Linked DNA regions of Callithrix jacchus. The protein of the gene in region 1 interacts with the protein of each later gene in a pairwise test. Links are inferred from orthologs where the notes say so. Each region holds a gene or a part of one and is shown on either strand. Other genes may lie near its edges.

Region 1 (6,284 bases):
TCCTCTATTGATGGATCAACTTGCAAACAGAAAGTTTAACAGTGTTCTACAACTCATCCTTCAATGGGCTGTACTCAAAGTTCTGTGCACAGACGCCTCCATAACAGTGGTGCCTCAGGGTAAAAATTAATTTTCCATCCTGATCAAAACGTTGGAGCACACCTGGAAGAGCTTATCATATACCATGATGTGTGGATCACTGACTAGTATGGCGTAGCGAGACAGACTTTTGATCCTTGTGGGGTAGTGACGCACTCTTCCTGGGCCACTGAGCTCTAAAATTTTAATCATAGTATGTAGATGATAATACCTACCGCTACTCAACTCCCAGGGTTGAGAAAGATATAAAAAGATAGGATGGAAGTGAAATTAAACAGAGGACCATACTATAAATAACAGCATGGCATGAGCTAATACCACAAATATAATCACTGCTCTTAGGGTCACACAAGAGCACAGTACAGTGATTAAGAGTCTTGTAGCTAAAGTTGGGTGTGGTGACTCATGCCTTAATCCCAGTACTTTGGGAGGCTGAGGCAGGTGGATCACTTGAGGTCAGGAGTTGGAGACCAGCCTGGCCAACATGGTGAAACCCCGTCTCTACTAAACATACAAAAATTAGCCAGGCATGGTGGTGGGCGCCTGTAGTCCCAGCTACTTGGGAGGCTGAGGCAGGAGAATCACTTGAACCCAAAAGGCAGAGGCTGCAGTGAGCCAAGTTAGTGGCTCCGCACTCCAGCCTGAGTGACAGCAAGTGAGACTCCACATCTCAAAAGAAAAAAAAAGAAAAAAGAATGTTGGGCTAAAATAAAAGCACTGCACCTATATATGAGGTTTCAAATCCCCCCCTTCCACTTACTAGATGTATGCCTTTGGGTAAATGACTCAACCTTCCCAGGCCTCAGGTTACTGGACCATGAAAGTGTTAATTGAGTTAACACAAGGAAAGCATTGAGAACAGTGAAAGGAGCACTGTAAGGGTTCAATCAAGGGTGAACTGCTGTTAGCATCACCATCCCCATCAGCAACATCCTTACTCTGTTCTTTCTTACTATAGTACTACAATCTCCCTTCTGTGTTCTCTACCTGCACTGAACCTTCCCATCCTCCTCCAGCAAGAGACAAAGCAACATCGATGACATGTAGGTGGGTGGGTCAGTCCTCCCTTGATGAAAATCCCACAATTTCATTATCATGTGTATTTTTTTTAAATTGAGGTTTTAATTCACATATCATAAAATTTACCATTTTAAAGCGTACAATTCAGTGGTTCTTAGTATGCTTATAAGGTTGTAGAACCATCGCTACAATCTAATTCTAGAACTTTTTTAAATTTTTAAAAATTTTAATCAACAGATAAAAGGTATACAGATTTACAATGTACAATATGTTTTGAAATATGTACACATTGTGAAATGGCTAAACCAAGCTAAACAACATGCATTACCTCACGTATTTATCTTTTGTGTGTGTGTGTGTGGCAAGAACACTTAAACTCTACTATACTCTTAACAATTTGCAAGTACACAGTGTTGTTAACTACAGTCACCATGTTGTAAAAGAGATGTCTTAATCCTCTTCCTAGTGTCTAAGTGAAATTTTGTGCCCTTTGATCAACATCTCCCCAGTCTTCTCCACCACCACCCCCAGTCCCTGGTAACCGCCACTCTGCTCTCTGCTCTATGAGTGTGACTTCCTTAGATCCCACATAGAAGTGAAGTCATGCAGTACTTGCCTCCTTCTGCCTGGCTTATTTCTCTTACATAATATCTTCCAGGTTCATCCACCGCATATGTATTTTCTAAAGCACCAACCAACTTCTCTATTGGTTTTTAGACATATTTCCAAATTTCCACTTTTAATTAATTAGGTAATTAATGAATTTTCACAAACAAATTCCATTAGAATGAGAAACACCACAGTGTAGAGTAAGAACGTGGTCACTTAAGCGAGACTCTGGTTCAGATCCTGGTTCCAGCAGTTATTAGGATACGGCCTTGGCCAAGTTACTTAACCTCCCTATGCCTCCATTTCCTTATCTGTAAAATGGCTATAATAGTGATTCTTAGTTCAGAGGGTTATCCTGTGCTAGGAAGGACTGAACAGAATTCAGTGTTATGGGCAGTGCTAGGCGCTGGAGGCACAGTGTTCAAATCCGTGTTTATCCCAGCTCAATATCTGGGAACAGAAGCAGGGCCCAAAGAGAGGTTACTTTAGAGAAGTGGTTCTCAAACTTGAGTGGGCATTAGAATCATCTGGAGGGCTTGTTAAGAATAAATTGCTCAATCCCACCCCCAGAGAGACAGACCTGTGGTGTTTTTTTCTTTTTTCTTCCCTTTGAAGTTTTCTGCCAACAAACGTTGAAACGCTTCTCAGAGCTGGCCACATACCCGAGTTTGGGACAAGTCTACCTGTCTTTAATGGATGCTCCTGTTTAGTGAGGCCTGAGTGACTTCATGTATGTATGGTGCTGAGAACAGCCGTTGGCATGTGGTAAGCACTCACTAAGTCCTAAATACTTTATTATTAGATGCTTCTCCTGATGCTTCAAAGACAGTGATAAATAAAAGACTCTGATGACTGCTGAAAAAGAAAAGAGCAGTCCCACACCGTGTGAGCCAGATATGGTTCTTCCTCTAACATGCTGTAGCACATGGAAAAGCCCTTTCCCTCTGAGTCTTGGTTAAGAAACAAACTCCATTAACACCTGAGGTGCATACAATTCTTTTACTCAGTCAGCCCCCTTTGCACATCCTCAACTCTCAGTGACAAATTAAAATTCTCCTTCTATCTGAAACCCACGAACCTGAGTGCTCCTGACGGTTGTGTGCCATGCAGACATCCTGGTTCCATGGGAGGCACGTAGAAACACAGTTCCAGCCAGTCCTCAGGAAACCATGGAACACAGCCACAACCATTGAGGGCCCCGGCAACCAAACACTAGAATGCAATCAACACAGTGTCCTGAGGTTTTGCTTATAGACAGATGGGGGGACAAGAGGCTCATTCTCATCCACGTGCCTATTTTATATATGCTAATTAGTAACAGCAGAAAGCGTAATAACTTTGAGTCTTGGGTCTTAGGGTAAAGAATAGAAAATGATTAACAAACAGAAAATGAGTTTCCAAGTTCTACCTTCAATAGGACGTGTGGATATAATATACCCCTGTCTGATTTGGGCTTCTCTATCTCTCTGAATCATGGTGGTGCTACTGTTGACACAGCACTCTGATTCCTTCATTCATCCATCATGCATCCATCAAACATGGAATCTAGCAGAAGTCAGGCAGTGATCCACTGGGTTAAAACAGCAACATAAGGTTCAATATGACTTCCTGTCCTCTTTCTCTTGCTTTCACCCTCCTGAACACAAGGGAGTCCATTCAATACTAAAGGGCACTTATTCCGCCCTCACTAAACATATATTTATTGAGGAAGCAAAGTGCATTAACAATAAAGATACATAACTTTCATGGAATACTTCAGATATACAAGGCTGAGCACTTACATGCACTCTTATTATTTTAAGAATATGCTGGCCTTTTCCCATCATATTCCTGTTTTACAGTGAGGAAAGCTAAGCTGGGAAACAATTAAGTAGCTTCTGCAAGCTGTCATCACTGGAGGTGCTGCAGTTGAGGGCTGAACCCAGTTCTCTCTGAAATCAGAGTCAGGCTCCTAACCAGATCCTGAACTGCTTCCAGACACCAGTCAGGTGGAAAGAACACATGCTCTAAGTCAGATCAGCTGGCATTAGAGTATCTCCTAATTGTGTGACTTCAGGCCAGTTTTCTGGTCCATGAAATGGCATTAAAGAAGAGAGTTGTGAGAATTTAAGGAGATGCGCACTTGGAATCCCTATGAGTAGTTCACCAACCCAATGATTGGTGGCTAATACTAGAAGTAGTCTAAGGGCCCAACTCTGTAGGTAGGCAGTGTGGCTTCAAATTTTCCTTAAAAAATAATTATGCAAACTCAAATATGCCAGACAAAAAATAGTACATGTATGAATATATAGATAAATTGTGGAGAATGAAAACACGTGAGGAAACAGAAAGCAGTCAGTATTGTGAGAATGGGGTGGGGATAGAGAGTAGGAGGAAGGGGTGGGAGGGCAGGATGATGAAGGGCCAAGGAATGTTTTGAAAGTGATGGATGTTTCGTAACCTTGATTGTGGTAACAGTTTGATAAGGTATACACATAAATTTGAGTCAAGATGTCTCAAAATGTGGACTTTAAAAATGTACAATTCATTGCATATCAATTCTACCTCCAAAAAGCTGTTCTTAAAAAAGCATTTCTGGCGCATGAGCAAGTAGTCTCTGTTGAAGGTGGAGCCAGTGTTAGCTACATTAGCTCAGTGTGGCCATCCTCACCATGGTACAATACCCAGAGCTGGACATGAGGCTGCCAAGCTACCTTTTTGGCAAATTTCTCTTTTCTTTCCTTGTTCATCACGAAGCAGGAGATGACCTGGCAGTGAGTGTGGGAGGCAGGTGGGCTCTTGGTAAGCCAGGAAGATTAGCAAACATGATTGGACCATCTATTGAAGTCCTGGACAGCATAATAAGGAGAGGCTTTGGTTAAAGAAAGGGCTTTAATTATTCTTGGTCTTAGCTGAACACCGGTGTTGGCAATTCTGTTTAATTAAGGTCATTTTTGTCACTTGAGTCACTGGGCACCTTTCAAAGGATCAACCACACTAAGTGGCAATGAAGACCCCAGAATATTACAGTTGCCACAACAAAGGCAATTGTTAACACAAATCAGAAATTAAAAATATTTCTCACTTGCAGGTATATCACAATGAGAATCAGTAATGCCAATACTGATTTTTGCTTGTGCAATTCAAAACTTAGCCTTTATGTAGTTTGAAAATTTACTTTTACTTGGTATTTGAAAGCAAGAAACACCTATACATGATAATAACTGAGATTAGTAATAATAGAGGCCAATGTTTTCTGAAGATTTATCATATGCCAGGTACTTCCTAAGTGCTTTGTGGATCCATTTGACCCACACAGCAAACCTATTAGGGAGATTGCCATCAAAATCCCCCTTTTAGAGATGAGGATGTAGAGGCACAGAAAGTTCGATAACTTGGTCAGATGCGGTGGCTCATGCCTATAATCCTAGCACTTTGGGAGGCCAAGGTGGGCAGATCACTTGAGATCAGAAGTTCAAGACTAGCCTGGCCAACACGGTGAAATCCCATCTCCACTAAAAAAAATCCAAAAATTAGCTGGGTGTGGTGGTGTGTGCCTGTAATCCCAGCTGCTCTGGTAGTTGAGGCATGAGAAGCGCCTGATCTTGGGAGGTGGGGGTCGCAGTGAGGCAAAATAGTGCCACTGCACTCCAGCTGAGACGACAGGGTGAGACTTCTCTCAAAAGAAACAAAAAAAAGAAACTTCAATGACTTGACTGAAACCACATGATGAAATGTAGCATTTTAACTACTAACAACAGCTGTTGTTTCTTTAGCTCCTAGTATGTACCAGAACATTGCGAAGCACTATATGTATTTTCTTTTTTAAAATGGGCATTAAAGCCACAACATGAACTAGGTACAATTATTCTCGACTTACAAATGCAGAAATCGAAGCTTTGAAATATTAAGTAATTTACCCAAGGTCTCACAGTTAAATAGCAGTAGAGCCAAATTTTAGTGCCAGATTCATCTAATTCCAAATCCATGAACTACTCAGGAGAGCACGTGGTTTTACATCCCCTTTGGTATGTTCCTCTTCTCCTCACCCCAAGTCAGTAAGTTCCATTATTCACACATGACGACAGACACAAAAAGGCTGAAGAAGACAAAACATTTGCTTAATTTCACTTGCATGTTTTAGAGTCAGTTATTTTTAAAACCCGGGGAATGTAATCTTGCTCATAGGAAATGCTTTGGAAGGCAATAAAGTAGATTAAATTAAAGTGTGGTTTGATGGTGATGATTTAGCAAACTGCGGTGGTGTTAGTAAAAATGAAATAGAAGATCTCTTTGCACATTATCTCCCTAAAGAGCATCACATAGGAAACACTCTTTGCACATAAAATAATGAGAATATATACATATAATAAACATAAACTACAATATATGAAAATATGCTTCTTCCATAAACTCTGTCTGCCAAACCTCCAATAAGGTGGAAGGATATTAAAATATGAGCTGGAAAAAAATGACAAGGGTTATAAGCAGCTTCTAGCTTCGGTTTGAAAATAAAACCAACTCATTAACATTTTCTCCCTTCTGAGTGTCTATGCACTGTACATTTAGAAATCACC
Region 2 (6,419 bases), on another chromosome or scaffold:
TATATGTCTATTGTACATATATATATTATACACATATACACACGCAGACAGACAGACATACACACACATTAAGTATCCCTTATCCAAAATGCTTGGGATCCGAAGTGTTCTGGATTTTTTCAGATTTTGGAATATTTGCCTATTCGTAATGAGGTATCTTAGGGATGGTACCCAAGTCCAAAGACCAATTTCATTTATACTTTATAAGCACAGCCTGAAGGTAATTGTATACAATATTTTAAATAGTTTTGTGCATGAAACAAAGTTTGTGTTAAGTACTTATGTGTGGAACTTTCCACTTGTGGAGGGGAATCATGTCAGTATGCAGAAAGTTTCAGATTTTGGAGCTAGCCAGGCATGGTGGCTCACGTCTAATCCCAGCAGTTTGGGAGGCTGAGGAAAGCGAATCACCTGAAGTCAGGAGTTAGCCTGACCAATATGAAAGAACCCCATCTCTATCAAAAATACAAACATTAGTCAGGAATAGTTGCACACGTCTGCAATCCCAGCTACTCAGGAGGCTGAGTGAGGCAGGGGAACAGCTTGAACCCAGGAGGCGGAGGTTGCGGTGAGCTGAGATGGTGCCACTGCACTCCAGCCTGGGTGACTGAGCAAGACTGTCTCAAAAAAGAAAAGATTTTGGAGCATTTTGGATTTTTAAATTAGGGATGTTCAACCTGTGCACGTATGTACATCTTCTTCTTTTTTTTTTTAGATGGAGTCTTGCTCTGTCACCAGGCTGGAGTGCAGTGGCATGATCTCAGCTCACTGCAACCTCTGTCTCCCAGGTTGAAGTGATTCTCCTGCCTCAGCCTCCCGAGTAGCTGGAATTACAAGCGCCCACCACCACATCCTGCTAATTTTTGTATTTTTAGGAAAGATGAGGTTTTACTATGTTAGCCAGGCTGGTCTCAAACTTGACTTGAGGTGATCCTGCCTCAACCTCCAAAAATGCTAGGATTACAGGCGTCAGCCACTGTGCCCGGCCCATGTATGTGTATCTTAAGTGTGTTAAATTCCACAGAGGGGAAGGGAGCAATGATGACGGCATTTTTAAAGGACACTTGACGGAGCCTGGGAAACAAGACTTCCCTGACAACTGAGATCTGACAGACAGGCAGTAGTGAACCAGGTATGGAAAGAGGTCATACACAAGTCCTGTGGCCAGGTCATGCCTGGGTCGGCGGAATAATAGCAAGGAGGCCAAAATAACTTTCACAAATGAACAAGGCAGAGTGTGGGGTGGCGCTGAGTCTAGAGGAGGGGCAACGGCCAAGCCATGCAGGGTCCAAAGGCCAAAGTGAGGAGCCTGGGCTTTCTCTCAAGGGCACTTAGGAGCCATGAAGGTACTCTGAGCAAGGAAGGGACAAGGTCAGTTTTGTGCTTTTGAAAGGCCTCTCAGACCCTTCTGGGGAGGACAGATTGGAGGGGCCAGAACTGGCGGCCAGCAGACCAGGGAGGAGGCTGGGGTGGTAATACAGGAGTAAATGGGGAATGTCTAAATAAATGTCATCTAACAGAACTGAAGCTAGTAAACAGGTGCCATTTCAAGCTGGAATACCAAGGATACACCGGAGGTTTTTGTTTGTTTGTTTGCTTGTTTTTTTGAGACAGAGTTTTGTTCTTGTTGCCCAGGCTGGAGTGCAGTGGCACGATCTTGGCTCACTGTAACCTCCACTTTCCGGTTTCAAGTGATTCTCCTGCCTCAGCCTCCTGAATAGGTGGGATTACTGGCATGTGCCACCACGCCCAGCGAAGTTTTTTGTATTTTTAGCAGAGACAGGGTTTCGCCATGTTGGCCAGGTTGGTCTTGAACTCCTGACCTCGTGGATCCACCTGCCTCGGCCTCCCAAAGTGCTGGGATTACAGGCTTGAGCCACCAAGCCCAGCCTAGGATACACAGGAGTTAAACAGGTGAGAAGGCGGCATTTCAGGCCAAAGCCCTGTGGTGGCAGAAACAGAAGGCCAGTGGAGCTGTCCAAGGATGAAGCTGAGTGGTGAGACCACAAGAGTCTTTTAGACCAGGGATACTTTGGTCTTCTCCCCAAAAGCAAGTGAAGCATCAAACAGCAGACAGAAGTGGTCAGATTTCATTTTGTATTCACTCCCCCTTTTTTTTTTGGAGACCATCTTGCTCTGTCACCCAGGCTAGAGTGCAGTGGCACAATCTCCACGCACTGCAGTCTCTTCCTCCCAGGTTCAAGCAATTCTCCTGCCTCAGCCACCCAAGTAGCTGGGATTACACGCACACAGCACCACGCCTGGCTAATTGTTCTATCTTTAGTAGAGACGGGGTTTCACCATTTTGGCCAGGCTGATCTCAAACTTGCGACCTCAGGTGATCCACCCACCTCAGCCTCCCAAAGCGCCAGGATTACCGGTGTGAGCCACCACACCCAGCCAACTTAATACTCACTCCTGTTGTGTGCCAAGCCAAATCTCAAATACTTCCGGGCATGGGAAGCCAGCAATAAGCAAAACAGACAACATTCTGGAGGTGGCCAATCTAACGTCAGGACTGCTCTGAGCATTACAGAGATTTCCCTTCTTCTTGCTAACACCTGATTGGCACTGACCAAATGACACAGTATGCTACGACACACAGAAGCCCTTGGGATCTTATCGATGATTACGCTCAAGAAACAATTAACGAATATACTCCTGAGGAAATGAAGCTCTTGTCCTGGCATACTTCCAAGTCCAGATTTTATCAGGATGACCAGCTTCAGCCCCCAACCCAGGGTCCCACACCAGAGACGAAAGGCCAGTTACTCACGATCTTTTCATAATACTCCCGTCTCCGCTCTGCCCGCTTCTTGTAATCGACCATCATACCTCGAAGCTTCCGCTCATGCTTCCTAGCCTCGTGCCACATTGTGGTGAGGCCAAGCGTGGGGCCTCAACCTGAGGGATAAAGAAAGGTACCAGGAGCGTCAGATAGGCTGTAAAAACTATATGGGCAGAATCAAAGTCATCTAAAAGGTTGGTGACAGAGTCAATCTCAAACAACACATCTCTTAGGTTCAGGGAGCAGAAGTATGGCTTCAGAACGGTGTGCCAGATGTTCAAGTCCACCTCTAACAACTTCCATCTGGCAGCTTGGGCAATCTGAAAAACCCTCAGGTGATTCTGAGGTGAGCATCCCTGGGAAAGGGGTGTCCTAGACTCCACGTGCTGGAGTCAGAGATGGAAGGTTTTGAAACATGAGTAGTGTTTGAAGTAAAGTCAGAAGGCAAACCTTGAGCACCTGAGGCTGGATCTCAAGGGAAAGAGAAGAGCTGAAAAGGCTGCCCCATGCTAGATGAGGAGGATAAGGATGAAGGCAGATAGAAGAAATCGGAGAAAGTCTTTAAGGGAGCAAGTGCAGTTGTAGGAAGGGGGAGGTCGAGGACGGGTGAAGGGTGTGGCGGAAGATGAAGATGCTAGAGGGAGTGGGAACACGGGGAGGGGGTGTTGCAAGGAGACCAGAGTGAAGGTGAGGTCTAAAGAGGGGATCTAGATGTCGTGGTGGAGACAGTATCCAGGGAAAAAGAGGGTAAAGCCTGAGAGAGGCGGAGCTGGCTGGCGGGAGGGCGTGGGCTGAGCTTGGGGGCAGGGCTTGCGGGCGAGGAAGAGATCAAGGGTTTGCACCGGGCTTGTAGATCGCGTCGCGGCCGGAGGATTTGGGCTAGGTTTTTGTTTGTTTTTGTTTTTTTTTTTTGACAAGGGGGCGGGCCTGTGACAGGCTGCTGGGCCGAAAGCCAAGAGAAACGCGGCGACTTCTGGGGCAAGGGCGCGGCCTTCGGCCCGTCAGGCCGAAGGGGGTGAGGAACAAGCCATCTCGGGGCCGGGACGCAGCAGAGGCCTACAGCAGCATGGGGAGAGCCCGAGGAAAGGAAGAAGCTGGGCTGACGCCTGCCCGAAAGCCGGAAGGTCGAGCCCGCCGCCCGCACTCACCGGCTGGTAGCAGCCTCCCACCGCTGCGCTAGCGCGCCGCCCGCACCGGAAACGGAAATGGAATGCTGCGGTAGGAGGAGGGGGCGGAGGTGGACCGCCGCGTAGCGCACTTCCGCCGACGTGAGGGGCGGGTCCTAGAGTCGAGAGGGGCGGAGTCCAGAGGAAGTTGAAGTGGGAGAACGAAGGGTGGAGCTCGGGTATTTTCGCTATTTTTTAAAATTTTGTTTATTTTTTGAGACAGGGCCTCGCATTGCCACCCAGGCTGGAGTGCAGTGGTGCGGTCTGGGCTCACTGCAACTTCCACCTCCCGGGCTTAAGCCATCCTCCTACCTCAGCCTCCGGAGTAGCTGGGCACCACTCAGCCCGGCTAATTTTTGTATTTTTTGTTGAAACTGGGTTTCGTCATGTTGCCCAGGCTGGTCTCAAGCGATCCTCCCGCCTTGCCTCCTAAAGTACTGGGATTACAGGCGTAAGCCCCCAGGCTGAAGGCTTTCTTTGCTGTGTAAAGGACTGGGGCATTTCCCAAGCGCAGAACAGACGAGACCCCCGAGGCTCAAAAACTCATCTTTATTGGAAAGACTCTAACAACCTACCCCACCCCCACCCCTTCAAGTCTGGGGAGGGAGGGCCATGGATCTGCCCCCTCCTCTCATATGTAGTCTTTTCCGAAACCGACTGGAGAAGGTGCCCCCACATGTGGGGGCAGAGGCAGCTGTAACAAGCTAGTGCACGGGAGCATACCCTTTCCGGACTCAGTTTCCTCATCTGTAAAGTGGGCTCAAGGGGAAACCTGTGCAACGGAGCTTCTCGCCAAGGCTGAATATGTCCGCTTCAGAAGCATGAGGAAGACCAACCCAAGGGTGGGCCAAGGGGATGGGGATGCTGGACATTCTGGTTGGGATTGCACAGCTCCTCCACCTCCCTCCCCACCCAGTGCCCCTCCTCTGGCACCACGGGGCTACGTGGCTTCAGGCCCAGGGGACAGGAGGCCGCCCCCAAAGGCTGCCTCACGGTACTGATTGGGGAACATGTTGCTGCCCACTAGGCTGGCGGTGCCTCCGTCCCCGGGGCCCAGGCCCTGGTAGGAGTCCAGTGTCAGCGGCTCAGGGCCGGGGGGCTCCCCAACCACAGCCCCAGCACCCCCACTGCACACAACAGCGCTGGCGTGTGGCGGCGCGGGGGGCAGCAGGTCCAGCATGGTCAAGAGTGGGGGGGCTGTGGGGTCGTAGGCAAAGCCATCGTCCAAGAGGTCAGGCCCACCAGGGGGCTCCAGGCCGGGCAGGGACACGGTGCCAGAGAAGAAGTCTGGGTCTGGCAGCAGGGCTGAAGGCGGGAGGAACGGGCCTATGAGGATGAACAGAGAGAAGTGCAGTGTGACTTAGGGCCAACTTCTGACCAGGCCCTAACTCGAATGCCCCATCCCTGCAAAATGTGGTATCAAGGTGGCCTCTTTTTTTTTTTTGTTTAGATGGACTCTCATTCTGTTGCCCAGGCTGGAGTGCAGTGGCATACTCTTGGCTCAGTGCAACCTCTGCCTCCTCAGTTCAAGTGATTCCCCTGCCTCAGTCTCCCAAATATCTGAAACTGCAGGCAAGTGCCACGCCCGGCTAATTTTTGTCTTTTTAATAGAAGCGGGGTTTCACCATGTTGGCCAGGCTGGTCTCAAACTCCCGACCTCAGGTGATCCACCTGCCTTGGCCTCCCAAAGTACTGGGATTACAGTCGTGAGCCACTGTGCCTGGCCTTAAGGTACCCTCTTAATCCCAAGGAGAATCCATGTGGGACTGTCACCATTCTCAGAGAATAAGTAAATTGAACGCCAAGCATGGTGGTTCATGCCTGTAATCCCAACACAACACAGCAAGATCCTGTCTCTACAAAAAAATATATTTAAAAGTTAGCTGGGTATGGTGGTGCACACCTGTAGTCCCAGCTACCTGGCAGGATGAGGCAGGAGGATCACTTGAGCCCCATTTGAGGCTGCAGTGAATTATGATCCCACCACTGCACTCCAGCCTGACCAACAGAGCAAGACCTTATCTCTAAAAGTAGTGATAATAACAAGTAAACCAAGGCGCCCAGGGAGTGTAACTGGAAAGCTCACAGCTGTTGTGGAGCTAGGGTTGAAGCCATCCACCTACACGGCCATGGAGAGTTTTCCCCAACAGTGAGAAAGGAGAAGACGTTCCAAAGCACCCCAACATAGAGAGACAACCCAAAAAGTAAAAGCTCCAGACCATAGGAGACGCAAGTTGGGAAGTCACAAGTCCCAAAATTGTCAGAAAAAATAAGTGTCATTCTCAGGCATAATGGGGACTTAAGAAAAAATAAAAATCAAATTAAAAAGTTTCATTATAAGAGGGATTCTTGGGCCAGGCATGGTGGCTCACGCCTGTAATCCCAGCACTTTGGGAGGCCGAGGCAGGTGGATCACCTGAGATCAGGAGTTTTTTTTTTGAGACAGAGTCTCGTACTGTCACCCA

Evidence for each region. The genes of interacting proteins can lie anywhere in the genome.
Region 2: the proteins of DAB1 (region 1) and CLASRP interact in a two-hybrid assay, tested with the Homo sapiens proteins (2 studies listed by BioGRID and IntAct). The link is inferred for Callithrix jacchus from reciprocal best matches to the Homo sapiens genes DAB1 and CLASRP.

Annotation. Positions count from the first base shown.
Region 1 is NC_133508.1:94,280,459-94,286,742, forward strand, and holds the start of DAB1 (disabled homolog 1), read right to left. Parts: upstream 3,979-6,284; 5' UTR 2,919-3,978; coding exon 2,807-2,918; intron 1-2,806. UniProt on the Homo sapiens protein: Signaling adapter of the reelin-mediated signaling pathway, which regulates the migration and differentiation of postmitotic neurons during brain development.
Region 2 is NC_133523.1:39,239,037-39,245,455, reverse strand, and holds the start of CLASRP (CLK4-associating serine/arginine rich protein), read right to left. Parts: upstream 4,001-6,419; 5' UTR 3,937-4,000; intron 3,650-3,936; exon of another isoform or gene 3,239-3,649; intron 2,905-3,238; 5' UTR 2,876-2,904; coding exon 2,777-2,875; intron 1-2,776. Other genes in the region: transcription factor RelB, read right to left, coding at 4,895-5,280. UniProt on the Homo sapiens protein: Probably functions as an alternative splicing regulator. May regulate the mRNA splicing of genes such as CLK1. May act by regulating members of the CLK kinase family.